3 linked regions of the Arabidopsis thaliana genome follow. The protein of the gene in region 3 interacts with the protein of the main gene of each other region in a biochemical or structural test. Each region holds a gene or a part of one and is shown on either strand. Other genes may lie near its edges.

The links.
Region 1: of the proteins of SUMO1 (region 3) and CDF2, one has a biochemical effect on the other in vitro, tested with the Arabidopsis thaliana proteins (one study listed by BioGRID).
Region 2: the proteins of SUMO1 (region 3) and ML5 form a complex in vitro, tested with the Arabidopsis thaliana proteins (one study listed by BioGRID).

Annotation. Positions count from the first base shown.
Region 1 is NC_003076.8:15,876,834-15,882,087, reverse strand, and holds CDF2 (cycling DOF factor 2), read right to left. Parts: upstream 3,363-5,254; 5' UTR 3,169-3,362; coding exon 2,935-3,168; intron 2,516-2,934; coding exon 1,376-2,515; 3' UTR 1,309-1,375; exon of another isoform or gene 1,007-1,308; 3' UTR 551-1,006; downstream 1-550. UniProt on the Arabidopsis thaliana protein: Transcription factor that binds specifically to a 5'-AA[AG]G-3' consensus core sequence. Regulates a photoperiodic flowering response. Transcriptional repressor of 'CONSTANS' expression.
Region 2 is NC_003070.9:10,289,448-10,296,491, forward strand, and holds ML5 (MEI2-like protein 5), read right to left. Parts: upstream 5,184-7,044; 5' UTR 4,934-5,183; exon of another isoform or gene 4,691-4,933; intron 4,276-4,690; exon of another isoform or gene 4,273-4,275; 5' UTR 4,250-4,272; coding exon 4,123-4,249; intron 4,047-4,122; coding exon 3,607-4,046; intron 3,510-3,606; coding exon 3,351-3,509; intron 3,259-3,350; coding exon 3,142-3,258; intron 3,051-3,141; coding exon 2,899-3,050; intron 2,817-2,898; coding exon 2,728-2,816; intron 2,651-2,727; coding exon 1,747-2,650; intron 1,653-1,746; coding exon 1,568-1,652; intron 1,489-1,567; coding exon 1,420-1,488; intron 1,336-1,419; coding exon 1,153-1,335; intron 1,024-1,152; coding exon 946-1,023; 3' UTR 551-945; downstream 1-550. Other genes in the region: COR413IM1 (COLD REGULATED 314 INNER MEMBRANE 1), read right to left, coding at 1-92. UniProt on the Arabidopsis thaliana protein: Probable RNA-binding protein that plays a role in meiosis and vegetative growth.
Region 3 is NC_003075.7:13,495,540-13,499,326, reverse strand, and holds SUMO1 (small ubiquitin-like modifier 1), read right to left. Parts: upstream 2,041-3,787; 5' UTR 1,862-2,040; coding exon 1,787-1,861; intron 1,178-1,786; coding exon 1,028-1,177; intron 947-1,027; coding exon 869-946; 3' UTR 507-868; downstream 1-506. Other genes in the region: VTC2 (GDP-L-galactose phosphorylase 1), read left to right, coding at 1-65; AT4G26830 (O-Glycosyl hydrolases family 17 protein), read left to right, coding at 2,928-3,787. UniProt on the Arabidopsis thaliana protein: Ubiquitin-like protein which can be covalently attached to target lysines as a monomer. Does not seem to be involved in protein degradation and may function as an antagonist of ubiquitin in the degradation process.

The sequences.
Region 1 (5,254 bases), on a different chromosome or scaffold from region 3:
TTTTTAGAGGTTTTATTTGTTTTCTAAACCAAATCGACATATTTTTGGTCATGGTTTGAATTGTTGTATTGTGTGGTTCAGTTCATTCTTACTAGTCTTGACAAATTTTGATACAAATTTCATATGAATACTTACTTTACTTTATGTAAAATATTCAGACGAAATTTCGTATAAATTTTGCAAGAGTAAGGCAGCGAGACAAACAAGTAGACTAAGAAAAACATAAAAAGCAAAGGAAAATTTCTTATAGCTAATTTCCACAATTAAGTAATCGTTTTCTCACCATAATCCGTGACTTGTTTGACCAAACGTAAGAAATCAATTAAACGATGACTAATTCAATAGTACTCTTATTGTTCTAGTCATGAAAAAGACTAACACGAATTTAATGTCACAATTGCAACTAATTTCCTTACTAAATTTCCTGGAAATTGCAACTGAACAAACAAGGTAGTGGCTTTCTTTTTCTTTTGGCGTTTTTCACAAACTTCTTCTATATTAATTTACTACTTATCTCTTAATATAGTATCAAAATGTTCTTTCATTGGTTGTTTTGGTCAATAGACGATAAATCTTCTGATATAGCTGACTTTGTCAATCCATTTAGTGTGGTTTCTTTAATATTTTTAATCCTAGATTATACAAATATCGAACCGTAGTTGGCAGCTTGCAATATCTTCTCTTCATGCATCTACCACATTGCTTTTGCTTATGTATGTTGTCAATAGACTCTCCATTCATGCATCAACCATGACCATTTGCTTGCAGTGAAGAAGCTGTGTTTGCGTTATTTTCGCAGTATTGGTGATCGCGGCTTGCTTTTTCGAGACTTGGTTCATGTCTTTGTTGGGTGATTTTTGGACTGGTTATAAGAATGACTACACATCTACTAAAGCAAACCTGATTTACCATGGTAAACACTTGACATCGCGGTCATCTAAGAAGTTGAAGACAGTGGTTCGCTCCTCCGCGGATGCCGAAAACAAGCTTGTTGCTGCCACTACTACTGAAGTCCAATAAGTTAGATCACTCTCAAGATTCTGAGAATCATACATCATGTGGATAACTATAAACGTTCCTTTAAACTTGTTTGAATTTGTCTGTGAACATACAATGTCATGATAGGGAAAATAAGTTATTCATGCAAGATACATTTATTTAACTACAGTTTTGAGGTTTTTTCATTTATGATACAACAAACTTTCACTCTGCAATCCAAAAACTACTTATCCCTCACTATGTCAACCATTATATATATATACACAAACATGTGTGTGTATATATAGCTATATGTACAAAAGGACTCACCTGCTTTCTTGGAACACAAGACTGAACCCAAAAACAATCAAATCAGCTGCTTAGATTCTTCTTCTTTCTATGAGCTCTCATGGAAGTTTGCTGACCTAGAAAGAGCAGCAGGATTCGCTTGCAACTCCGGTCTTCTTCCCGGAAGTCTTCCTTCAGAAAGACTGCTTTTTTCTTTGGTTGATGATCTGAAAGCTCCGAAAGTATCCGCATTTTCGTCTTTTTTGATCCCTAATGTTTCCCAGATGGAACTTTTAGCAGCTTCCTCTGGATCATCAATCCTCAGCGTCTTGGGAACCCACAAGCATCTCTCGGGTTTGCTTTTCTCCCTACCAAGTGACTCGGTTTCATCAAAAGCGGTTCCTGGTTCAGCAGCGTTCTCGTCACGTGAATGTTTACCTAGTGTAGGAGAATTTGGATTGGAACCAGATGGTGAATTGGGTTGTGGCATCCATGTGAAGCTGTTCCATGCCCCCGGTGAAACCCCCGGGCAGCTCCAGTAAGCCGGTGGAGGGTAAAACGGTAAAATCGTCCACGAAACTCCGTTCCAAGCGTAAGGCCAAGTTGGTGGTGGTCCTGGAAAGCATGGAACTTTTGGTAACGGGCTGACTGTTCCAGCTTCTTCGTTTGTCTGGTTTAACGGAACCGTAATCTTCAAGCCTTCATTGGGTTCTTGCAATACAGTTTGTGTCTTCAACAATGACTTCTCAACAAGATTCAATCCAGAAGCCATAGATTCACAAAGCACAGAATCAGAGCCAAAAGTGAGAAGATTTGCACCATTAGGATGTTGAAGATCAGTTCTCGCCACCTTCTGCATAGCTTCCGCAGATGTTATACTTACATGACGGTTATAATGAGAAGCTGGACTCTTATTCTTACGTCTCCCAGCACCAACCGGAACATTCCTCATCGTTCCACCAGCTGTCCAATATCTCTGACATTTCTTGCAGAAATGGCGAGGTTGGTTAACATTATAGTTGTTGTAGTAACAGAACTTGGTTTCCATGCTGTTACATCGCGGACACGGTAGAATCTTATCAGGTTTCTTTAACTTCCCCTCTTGAGAGCAAGCAGTACCACCTGACTCTTCATTCGTCTTTGCAGCTTTTGTTGTTTCCGTTTTTTCAGTTATACCCGATGTAGTAGTAGTAACATCATTAGATTCATTCCTCAATGACTCTTCCTGACACTCACTATCTTTTTCTTCCTGAAGAATAACATAAGAACCAGAGTCAGATCGTTGTTATGTATCCTAATCAAACAAACAACAAACAGAAGCTAGAAGCTACAGGGATCAAAGACTTGATTCCAATCACAGAGAAGCTAAAACCCTGAAAAGTTCTTAAGCAAATCAATATCAAAACCTATAACCATCAATCAAAACCAAATGGAACTAATTAAGATCTCAAATCACTTTATAACAAAAGGAAAAAAAAAAACTCATTTGAGAATCCAGATTTACAATTTTCGAATCCCCAAAAGCTCTGAAAACCTAGTTCTTACATAAACAAACCAAAAATCATAACTTTATCAATAAAACTAAGATTTGACCAATCTAACATAAACCCATCAATCATTTCCATTTAACAAATCAAAATCAATTCACAAGTTCCAAAAAAAACTAACCTTTTTATCAGTCTCGCTCTCTCCTCCACCATCACCAACATCATCACCTTCTTCTCGTCCTAAACCGGAATCACCCATCTCTTCATCATCATCATCGCCGGTACACGAATCTGATAACCGAACAGGAATCTGAGTTTCGGTTAAAAATCCGGTATAGCTAGAAGAAGAATCAACAACACCAAGCTCAGGTAAAGGAATCGTCTTTCCAAAGAGCTTAATCGCCGGATCAGCCATGGTAATGATTCCTTTTCACTTCTTTCTTTCTTTCTTCTCCAGCGAGCAAAAAGCGGAAACTTTTTGAGAAGACAGAGGAAAAAAGTTCCAATTTTTATTTGTTTAAAAGAGAGAGAGAAACGACTGTCTTGTTATCGGTGGTTGTCTGAGTTTTGATTTCTAGATTTGTTAATTGGGAATGCTTTTTTGTCTTTGCGAGAGAGAAAGAAAAAAGATTTACAGATTTTGCTTTTTGGGTTTGTGATCTTTCGAATTGTACAACCTTTTGATTCGCCCAGAGTGCCACGTCATCACACGTGAGGATTCTTAGCCACAAGTTTATTTTTGTTTTTGTGGACTTTTTTTTTTCTCTTTTTCGTCTCTTTTTGGCTTTCTTTTTATTTTCCTTTTCAATCTGGTCAGTGGTCAGCACTTTTTTTTACTTTTACTTTTCTTTTCATTTTTAACTTTTTTATTTTAAAAGTCTGAATTTTTTTAAATTAATGTAAAAATGGTTGATTAAAGGCCATTTAACTTCTAATTTACATGTTTTCTAATTCTAACTATGTCAATAAATTTTTTGTTACCCACACATTTATTAAAAAATTACTGTTTATAAATGAAATTTCAGAAGAAAAAACAAACTTTAGAGTAACAAACAAAAAACATATTTAAAACCTTGAAACACTTTTTAATTCCTAGCTTTCTATAATAGCCATATCCATGGAAAACAATATCATGATTAGATTTGGAGAGAAAGAAAAAAAAAACATATTTATGAAAGAAACAAATTACATGATATAAACATTAATTTTCTCATTTTTAAAGAACTAAGAAGATCCAACAAAAAATTAAAATACTAAAAAAATATAGTATTTTATCCCCAAAAAAACCAATCTTTGTCTTCAAACAAATCCATTTTACAGATTGATACTCCTTGTGTTCTTTTTTCTTTGATTTTTTAGGAAAAACACAAATATTAAGAAAACATATTAAATGTTGCTTTTAAATGTATTATTCTTTGTAATTTATAATTTTCAATAACTCTAAACCAATGATATTCAATAATTCTTATTGAAGTTTACAATTTATCAATTATAACTAAATAAATATTGCATTGAAAACCAAAAAATCAATCTTTTTGAAACAATTTTTTTCTAGAAAATCAAAAAAAAAAAACAAAAGGAGTATGTGTTTTTTTACGCTGATAATAATAGTCATTTAGTTACAGTTTTAGCTTGGTACTTGTAGGAAAAATAAATTAACATTGAAATCACTTTCTTTTTTTTAAATGAAGCTACAAGTATTTACTATATAGTGGATCTTCAGTTTCTTTCCTCTTTTTTGCCTATATTCTTGTCATAAAATCTTCAACATATCAGAGATACGTGGCTGTAATAAGTCGATGTTAGAAGTTGTGGTTACTAATGAACGCCAAGTCGATTTGGAAAAAGTGCAATATTGTGGATAAGAAGTAATTGAACGCCAAGTCTAACATTGAAAAAGTGCAATTATGTGGATAAGTATATAGTACCTTTATTTCAGACCACCCCAAATCACAAATATATACTATATAATAAAGTTTTTTCATTACATTTATTATATTATCCCCACTTGGAGGCACGACTGATAAAGATTCTTAGGAAACATATTTTATCATTTTTCGACTGTTTCCCCGAACTAAAGAAACGTTATTTGAGTTTTGTTTTATTAAAATTAGCATTTTTCGTATAAAAACAAGTCTCGTTGATATATCACATGACTTGAACATTCTCGAATTAGAACTTGAATGAACTATATTGTAAAAAAAAAAAAAAAAAAGAACTTGAATGAACTATATTGTAAAAAAAAAAAAAAAAAGAACTTGAATGAACTATATTGTAAAAAAAAAAAAAAAAGAACTTGAATGAACTATATTGTAAAAGCTGGCTAAGTTCATTAAGTGACTCTTGGTGAAAACGGAGAATTTTTGCTTAATGAAAACATGGTGATCAAATTTCGAATATTACAATACAAGATTGATTCGAATAAATTTTCATATCGTTACTAGGAAAAACAAAACTCCATTTCATTATTGCTAATTGGGTAGACTTTTTATCTTCGTATT
Region 2 (7,044 bases), on a different chromosome or scaffold from region 3:
TCTGAAGGACGAGACCGGAGTTTAAGAGAGAGGAATGGTTTCTGGTGGTGAAGAGAAACGATCCGGGACGATGAGAGACAGAGACTCGCCATGAAATTGTTTAGATTTAGTCACAGTGGTGGAAAGATTGACGGAGTGATCTTTCTGTTAAACGACTATATCACTGCATGAATATATGATCGTTACGTGGACGTGTTGATTTCGTGCTTTAGAGTGGAGCCGAGTTACACGTGATTGGAAAACGAGAGTCGCTCACTATCAATCAAAGAATCTTTGAATCTCCACCGTTGGAATCAACTCCAATTCAAATCCACCCCACTTAGGATACCACGTCAGCTTTACCATATCTAATTCATTGGAACATGACAAAATTTCATGTCGATCATAGATAATTTCACTAGTTTTTTTATTTATATATATTGCAAGTCTTATCATAAAATAATTGTAAAGCTTAACGCAAAATTTCATTGGTACCGACATAACTAATTTCAGTTTCAGATGTATATCTTCATCTTTTCAAATGTTGTGCCTCTGTTTTTTTTTTTTTTTTGCAAGACAGACTTCTGTCCAAAAAATAAGACAAAAAAGACTTGAGAGACAATTCTTTTTTTCTTACTGTACAAATTGCCAAAAGCTTTAACAAGAGTTGTGAGAGTTACAACATAATACCCACATAAAACCGAGTATTCATGGTTTTTTTTTTTACATATACTCCATGGAACCAAAAAACATGAAGAAAGAAAAAAAAAAAAAAAAAACAGAGTAAATACTCGCACAGCTTCTGCATGCAGCATTTAAAACCTGCAATTCGAAAACACACTTCCGCAGGGTCCTGCATGCATCAGTTAACTCTGCCTTTCACCAATATGTACGGTTAAAAATTAGTACTTAGAAAGAAAAAAAACAGCCATTATCACAACATTGAGTCGTCTCTCAACTCCTGTGTCAGCTTCTCTCTCTGCCATCATCATCACTGAGCTGAGAGTCGAGGAGGTCCATATTCTTAGATTCCTCATCAACAACCTATGAAGAACAAGAATACCATAGCTACTTAATCCGAGTAATAAGTCTAAAGATCATCGCTAACTATATTATGCAGTATTAACTTCCATAAGGTTTAGCATTAACTTTCAGACCAAAGAGTAACTTTACCTGTTCAACAGACTCTGGATTGTTGGGAGTGTCGAAGATAATTGGACGACAACGCATATCTTCATTCATCAAGCTTGAGTTCTGAAAATGGGCTATAAGGGCAGATTTTCCTTGTATCCGAGCATATGCCAATGAAGCTACTTTCTCACTGTTGAACTTCTCCCACTTCTTCCCATTAAAAGCCTGCAAATATTGGATGTTTGTTAGTTCACCTTTCGAGTGATCTTAGCTAAAAGTATAAGAAAGAAAGCGGAGAGGGAAGGAAACCTCATAAAATGGAATGATGAGTTCTGGATTGAGCATGTTGATGAATGCATAGCCCACATTGCATTTGTTCTGCAAAACCAAAGATTTATTAACCGCTCGTTGTATCAGTTAGTGATTTTGGAACTTTGAATCTCTAATCAATTTTTACCTTGAAATCAATGGGCAAATAGAGAAAGTTGTAAGTTCCTTGGTTCTTTTCATCGATTGCAGCTAACAACATCTTCGAGGTGTATCTGTTGATATAAAAGAAACTCATTCAGTAATCTGGCTGCATCATATTCCAAGTATATTTCAAGAGAAGTAAAGATAAAGAAAGGAAAAGCTTACTTGTTTGGAATGTTTTTAATCATCAAGGTAGTCCGAGAATCCTCTCCATTAAGAATTTTCTCCAAATCAAGTTGAAACTGTTTCCTGCTCTCAACCTGGTTCGAATTGTTCTCAACTCTACGAGGCCTACCATTTTCATACAAACTGTCAAAGCCAGAGGCGAACCGCCCTGGGTTTAGACCGCTGCTTAAGAACATGGGGCTGAATCTCGGTGAAGACATCATTCTGTAACTTGAAAAACCGTTTTCGGCCATGCTTCCAGAGTTAATGATCCCATTATTTGCCATTTTGGAAGAGAAACTTCCACCGTTGAGACCCATTCCACTCATTCCTTGAAGACCAACAGTGTTCATGAACAAAGCGTCCTTTGAAGACTCTGGGACGAATCCAAAATGCTTTTCTAGAGGAACACCAGATGGTGCAGACCCAACATGGAAGTGATGATGGCTACGACTTTGATTTTGATGCTGATGTGGAAATGGAACAGATCGGTCTACTCGAGTTGAGAAGAGTGGATTCCCAGTGGATGATGTTGACCAAACCGAGGAACTTGAAGGTTCAGAGCGTGCGTTAGGACTTCCCCAGAGAAACTCTGAACCCGACAACGTCTCAATTCCACCTCCATTTGAGATCAAAGGACCTGAAGGAGAGAGATTTCCTGTGTACTTATTATCCATCTTAGGCTCTTGGAATAAATGTGATGACTGTTGGAAGCCGTTGCTACCAATTTGACCCCTGCCAATGGGTGCAAGCTTCGAGCTTGGTCCTTGTGAATTTAGAGCAGAAGCCAAACCAGACAAGTGGCCGTTCCTTGTAGGACTTAAGCCAAAAACAGGTGACCTGCTAAGTACACTTTGAAGCGGACTACCTTCCACGGGACTGTTCAGCGGCCAGTTACCTTGCACTAAATCAAACAGTTTCAGTCTTTGAGGATATTATAAACAAATTTGTTTGAAGAAGAGCATCAAGAAATAGACTCACTTGGGGGAGAGTTTGCCATGGGTGAACCAATCATCGGTAGGTAGTGCAAATCATCGTTCTCAAGATCTTGGTTAAGTTGCAACATCAGGCTAGCAGATCAAATAAATGGTCAGATGTAAGAAATGTAATGGCATTCATTATTCATGTAGCAGATCTAAGAAAGAAAGAAACCTTCGACGAGCTCCTCCAGGGCGACTAGGTTCAACCTTTATACGTTTTCCTGCAATCTCACACCTGTTTAATGCCTTCAATGCTGCTTCAGCACCGCGGACATCATAAAACTCGACGAATTTGTGATGCCTCTTATGTGGTGTTTCTCTTATCTGTTTTTCATGAGGAAAACAGAACTTAATATGGATGTTTTTCTTCCAAACCAGTTCAAAGCTATCAAATAAACAGAATGATATCTATCACCTCTTTGATCTCGCCATGAGCACCAAAAATTCCATGTAAGTCATCATTAGAAATTGAAGGATCCAGGTTAAACACCACTAATGTCCCCTGATTCATATCTTTCTCAGATGGATTATCCTACAAATTACACAGGAAACAGGCTCAATATAAACAAACTAGGGGTGCAACTAAGAATCGATGACATTGTTAACAAAGAGCTATCAGCAAACCTTTGGAATTGAGAAGTGAATGTCCAATTTTCTACGTCTTAATGGCTTATTCTGTAAAGACCTCATAGCCATTCGAGCAGAACGAATGTCATAATAAGATATCATGACAAATCCCCTATGCTTACAAGTGGTATAGAGCGTTCTAATATCACCGTATTGCTGCCACATATCACAAAAAAGTTAACCCATCAGTGTCTGTAGAGTAAGTTTGTTATAAAAAATCCAACAGTGTCAGGTCAAGTTTTGTTGAAGTTACCTCAAAGAGAGCTGTGAGTTCAGAGTCTTCTACATTGCTGTTAATATTCCGGACAAACAATGTTCTCGAGGGATGTTCACCATAAGGATGCTCACCAGCAACTGTTCCTGCACCATTTGGAATATTGAATTGCGGAATTGCATTTCCACCAAGACTTGAAAGTGATAGCCTTGGAGGACCACTCATACTCAAGTTGTCTCGAAAATCAGCGTCAAGTTCCATTCCTCCTCCACTACCAAAAAGATCATAATCATCAGCATCTGGTAACTCCCCCAGGTCAAGATCATCCATCATCCCTGTCAAAAGATCCTCTTCATCAGGGAGCAGGTTTCCAATGGAATGAGATTCAAAGTCATCAGCACTTTCGTTAAACTTGTTTGTGCGAGAAACAGCCGTATCGTCTATCAGTGAGAAACCATCTCTGTTATCACTCAATTGCACTGCAAAAGAAGTAAAACTTGTCAGCAAAAGAGAGAAGAAAGCCATATATAAACGAGTAAGGGATTCGGTTAATACGTTTTCCACGGGGGAAAACAGGTAAAGAACTGGAGAACAAAGTAGCATCACTGGAGGGATGATGGTGACGACCAAAACCAGGGAGAATCCCCCAAGCTCCAGCTTCTGCTTCATGTGGAATATCCATTCTAGCAACTTCTTTCTTTTGATCTGCTTTGCAAAATTAAAAGAGAATAAACGCATTAGCTCACATTTATAATAATCACATGTAAAATCTTCACAGGTCAGATAAACTTTGAGAATCGAGATACAAGAGTAGACAACACATTTGAAATCTCAAGTCATGTGCTGAAAAATTAACATGCAAGCAAGAAACCATAACCTAAAACCAACAAAAAAGCTTGATCAATACAAAACCACAAGTTTTGATCAAACAAAAGTCGTGAAAGTAATCTTTTTTTTTCGAAAGTCTAAAAGTTGAGCATTTGACTAACACAATAGTCAAATGATGAAGCTTTAACTCAATTAACATCAAAATTAAGAAGATCGTTGAACAAATAACATGATTAAACTCATTAAGAAGATCAAACCAACACAGAACTAGGTTACTAGGTAAAAAGAAACTAACCCAATTTACTTCTTATAATCTCCGATCATCAAAAAGCTGAAAACTTTCAGAGACACTATTGATCGAAATCGCCGACATAACAAAAGAGAAGAAACCCTTTAAGAAGGGGTTTTAGACTTTAGACAAAAACCCAGAAAAAAAGTTGAAAATTTTCAGTAGAAAACCCAATCAATTGAAGAAGAAAAACATGAAAAACCCAGAAATCAAAATTTGTTGCGAAAGTGAGGAGGTAAGAGTAAATACCTGAAATGTGCAGTTACCAACACCGACGATGATCACGATACAAAGCACGAAGAGCAAAAGAGAGAATCTCTACCAACCAAAATAAAATTAAAATTGAGAAGAAAAAAAAAAGAGAAGAAGGAAGAAAAATTGAACTTGTCTCTTTATTTTTTAATTTTGAGGGTTTAATAGAGAGAGAGAAGAAACAATAATGGTGGAGAAAAAAAAATATCAGAGAAGACAAGAAAGGATGAGAATGATTGATGTGGCTAAAGAGGTTTTTTCTTAACTGTATTTAAATACATTTTTGAGTCCGACGATTTCGACACTTTTTATTTTATTTTTTTAAACCTATGATTTTGACACTTCCGTGTTTATCTCTGTTATATCATCATCTACAGTTGTAACTATCCCATTAATATGTTAAGATTTTATGAAATCAAAAGTTTATTTGAGTCAAGAGTATCTTTACTAATTACTATGCATTTTTTGACATACACATTTATTATCAGCTAGTGTCATCTAATGCATGGGATAGTGGATATACCAACTAAAAATATTCAGATTCTTTTGAGAGGTACAATGTATCCATACGGAATTGTAATCTTTGTTCGCATTTTACATATTTTAAAAAGAAAAATGAATTTAGATGAATTTTCAAAAGAGTTTATCCATAAGATTAGGAAATAATTGGAAAAAGAGAGTAAGGAAAACCGTGAGCTTTTTGTTTTGAGCAAACACATGGTAATATCGTTAGGCACACTATTGGTAATATAGAGTTGATTTTTAGTAATGTCTTCTGTTTGTTATTGTTAGCATAATAATGTCGATAGTTAAAATACTATTGTATTTATGAATGAGATATTTTAAAAATAATTGGGTAATTTTCTGCGCTATGCGAGCAGAAAATATGTTACGTCAAAAGCAAATTTTTATGAAAAAATGATGTAAGAAAAAAATTTGGTTTACGAAAAAATATATTAAATAAAAAGAAAATCAAATTTATTTAATAAATAATATGAAAAGATATTTAAAATTATATATTTGTATTTATGAATGAGATATTTTAATATCTTTCAAATTAATAATGTTGACTAACAAAGACAGCATATAGTTTATGGTTTTAGGTATATATTTTGATATTTTCCAAACGAGAAAAAACTATAAAATTTGACAGCAATGTATCTTAATATTTTGTAAAGTATACAATTGTGATGGCTTTAGAAAGTTTCAACTTTCAGTCATACCCATAAATTCTTCGTAGCTTCTTACACTATCTGAAACATTTTTTTTTTTTACTTAATCAAATTGGATAAAAACGGAGCCAATATGTTGCTTAATTGACTGAGTATCATCCAAATGAAGTGAATACGTTGTTGTCGAATAATGGATGGTCAGGCACATATAGTCAACGACTCAACCCCATATAAAAAGTTTAGTTTAATTGTAATCTCTTACAGAAATTTAAAACAATCTTAGTTAATCAAATTACGCGGCACTGATCTTACGCCATACGGAATCATCAAGTAGACCAATATTTGACCAAAGAATAATGCAACATCTTTAAGATGTTAGTTGGTAATATGAATTTATTTCAAAAATACTCTATTGTATGTATTTAGTTTATTATTTTCCCCCCATCTATCTCATATCAATGATTGAAATAAATTCATCTTTTATTTCATAGTATCGAGCGTACATACATGACAAATTATTTGCCGGGAGGTCGGAAAAGTCGAAGAAAAGATTTATCAAAAGTGTCCTGGATAATGTTTCATATTCAAAAATACCTATCTTCCCATAACAATTAATTGAGATGTCAAGTCATCGTCCACACAAGGAAAATAATGCAGCCTTATATGTATCTATACTTGAGGATCTATAAATTAAAACGAATTAGTTGCTTAATACTAATATATACGGATTTGAATGATCCATGACTTTTAGAAATGTTAAAGAGAAATAAAACATTCTATATTCGTTTATAAAATTAAAAATATAACATACAAAATTACTAGTGAATTTCTGTACGAAACAATGAAATAATGACTAGACCGAGTCAGCATGAGTAGTTTATTATAGAAGTAAACAATAGATAATTAAAATTTGCAAAGAAGTTAAGAAATACCACA
Region 3 (3,787 bases):
GCAACAGAACCCATGGAGGTCCGATCACAAATGGGACGGCCGCCGAGTGCCTTGTCCTTCAGTGAACAATATGGTGACTTGGTGGTTTGTATGTATAATTAAAAGCCTAAATAAGCAAACTCTCTTTGTAGTTGCATTTGAAGCTTCTTGGTTTATGTATGATGGTTGTGGGCATTTTGTGCCTAGACTTCTGGTTCTTTGTTTTTTGTTATGAGTTGGTGTTTATGAATTATATATGTTCTTCACTAATATGATTATTATTTGTATAGATTTGATTATTCAAAGGATATGTCTTAAGAAGGGGTTCAGGTTCAGCCAACTAATTACTTGTAACCAAGTCTTTCTACCATCAACAACCATGTTAAGATTCAGACACTTAGTTTTTACAGCTCGAGACTCGAGAGAGAGTAATAATACTGATTATTGTCTTGTCTATAACCACCACAAGCTCTGGTTATGAAGTCGTCCTCTATAGACTATAATTCACTAACTCGATGCTAGTTCATGTTTAAGTAATATTTTGTTTAGTTGACTAGATGGATTTTATCTTTGCTCGCCATTAGCTCAATGAGCTACGTATATGTTAAGAGTCACACTTTCAATAATTAATAGCTTTTTACCGTTACCATACCAACAAACTTTAGATAATTGGGTTAATAACACCTTTAAGCCGAAATAGTAGTATCATAGGATCCGATACCAAACGAACAAGACAAAAAATCAACCAAAGGGTTCTTTAACCTTCGTGACCATAATAACTTAGTTTCTAAAGAGAATGGTCACGATAAAAAAACAAGTCTGCAAATCCTAATGCCGATTACTCCTTAACCATTCATATCACACACAAGCCCTAAACCTGGACGAAGTGTCAGGCCGTAGCACCACCACCGCTGCCACCAGTCTGATGGAGCATCGCATCGATCTCATCACCATCCTCCATGTCAAGCTGTAGTGTCAAGAATTATTAGTATCAGAAACTATAAACTTCAAAAGGTAAGAAATAAAGCATGTAGAATGAATGTTATACCTCATCGGGAGTTTGCTCAGCACGAAGACGACGCCCATCAAACAAGAAAGCAATGGAGTTCATGTCCACAGATTGCCGGTCACAGTAAGCATTCATCAGCTTCTTGAGCTGAGTGCTTCTCTTGATCCTAAAGAAAACCTCGTTTCCATCCTATAAAACAAACATATAGAAGGAACAATAAACGTTAGAGACCGCATATGAAACAATAACTAAATCACATGGCTCTCTTTTGGTAGTAACCTGAAAGAGTCGAAAAATTAAACACATATCAACAAACATTCAGTTTAAGGCTTCGTCTATGAGAATTTGAAGCACAAACATCAGCCAAACTAATTGAAAACTTAGTACAGAGACTACAACTTCATCAGAAGATATATAACAACTTAGTACAGAGACAGCATCGTTCACAGTCTTTAGAACATTCAACAACTAAGTAAACTTATCCCTTCCAAAACTATAAAACCCTCAAACAACAACAGGAACCAAAAGCTCAATAACAACTTACACCTAAACAAGACTTATATAATTTCAGAAATTTGATAAACAATTAGCAAAAACAAGCAAACGTGTAAACATAAAGCAGGATACTTTAAACCTGTAAAACAAAAGAGGAAGAAGACCATTAAGACTGAGCTAGTAGTACGAAACCCTAAAATTAAACCAAATTGGAGAATGAAAAACCCTAATCGCAGCTACACGAAATCAGAAACCCAAACATTCACAAGAACACACAAGGATGAGAAGGAGAAAGAGAGATACCTGTCCCTTGACTTTGAGATTGATGTGAGCTCCTCCGTCTCCTGGCTTCTTGTCTTCCTCCTGGTTTGCAGACATCGTGAAAGGTTCTCCGTCCGGTTACAAAAACACGAAATTTGAGAGAACGATGAGAGATTCACACAATCAAAGAATGATGCTGAGAGATGAATATAAAAAGACTGACTCTGAAAATCTCTCTAATTGGCCGTGGCTTTTGTACTTGGACGCATCGGATTCCTCTCTATCATAAATCGTAGGGCATCTATCCAACGGTTCATATTCTCTCTAGGTTCTCTTTTAATCCAACGGCTGCTAGTTATGTTCAAATCTGTCGTTTCGTTATAATGGGCTTATATTTTTATTGGGCCACATCTAACCCACTAGACAATTTCATTTGGTTAAATATTTTAGGTTGCAGTTCCTGATCTCACGTGACGTGAGTCCTCCTATCCACCACTCTCCATGATTTCATCATCTGTTGAAGACTTGACAATTTGACATAGAAGAAATAAATAAATTGTTAAATCTATAAATCATGTCACTTTGTGTATTAACAAAAAGATTAGTTGAAGGAGATAAAGTCTGTCACACACTCTTCACAAAAGAAAGAAATGATGATGAATTAACGAAATATGCGCAATGCAACATATAAAGAACCTAGGTCTTGACTCTTGTTTAAGAAACAATAAAAGTCAAGGTTTTTGTTAGGTTTCTGTTATAACCAAAATCAACTATGAAAACATTCATATGTTAGAAAAACATCAAAATTATAGAGAGTTCCTTTAACTGAAGATTATGGTAAAGTAAAACTTTTTGCTATAAATAGAGCTTTAAAATTATACAGTTTTAGTTAAATCTATTATTTCAGCTATTCTTCCGTGTTATTAGTTATCCCACAACCCCCACTTGGCACTTGTTTACACCTAAATCGTATAAATACTGTAGACCAGCTCCGTCCCAAACGCAACAAAAACTTTCCTTCGTCTCCATAACTATCAAACGACACTCATCTATGCGTTTAATGCTCTGTTTCTGAAGATACACTCGAGAATAACCATGGCCGTTTCTTTCTTACCTTATTTTCTGATTCTTTCCTTCCTCTCAGCCATTGACGCACGTTAGTTTTTAATCTCTTCATATACCTATGTCTGTCTCTGTATTTGCCGTGTCTACTACGTTGTTCTTATTTTGCGTTTTTTTTGTTTTTGTTTCCACAGATTCTGGAATGGTCGGAGTCAATTATGGTCGGATAGCTAACAATCTCCCGTCGCCGGAGAAAGTAGTGAACCTCCTGAAATCTCAAGGAATCAACCGTATCAAAATCTTCGACACCGATAAGAATGTACTAACCGCACTTGCAAATTCCAAAATCAAAGTAATCGTCGCTCTCCCTAACGAGCTTCTCTCCTCCGCCGCCTCCCACCAATCATTCGCCGACAACTGGATTAAAACCCACATAATGCCATACTTCCCAGCGACGGAGATCGAAGCTATCGCCGTCGGTAACGAAGTATTCGTCGATCCGACGATCACGCCGTATCTTGTCAATGCGATGAAGAACATTCACACCTCTCTGGTTAAGTATAAACTCGACAAAGCCATCAAGATCTCGTCTCCTATTGCTCTTAGCGCGCTTGCTAATTCGTACCCGCCTTCCTCTGGTTCTTTTAAACCGGAATTAATCGAACCGGTTGTTAAACCAATGCTTGCTCTGCTTCAACAAACGTCGTCGTATCTTATGGTAAATGCTTATCCGTTTTTCGCTTACGCAGCAAACGCCGATAAAATCTCTTTAGACTACGCTCTGTTTAAAGAAAACGCCGGGAATATAGATTCCGGTACCGGATTGAAGTACAACAGTCTCTTTGACGCTCAAATAGACGCCGTTTACGCGGCATTGTCCGCCGTCGGATTTAAAGGCGTTAAGGTGATGGTGACGGAAACAGGGTGGCCTTCCGTTGGAGATGAGAATGAGATTGGTGCAAGCGAATCTAACGCGGCGGC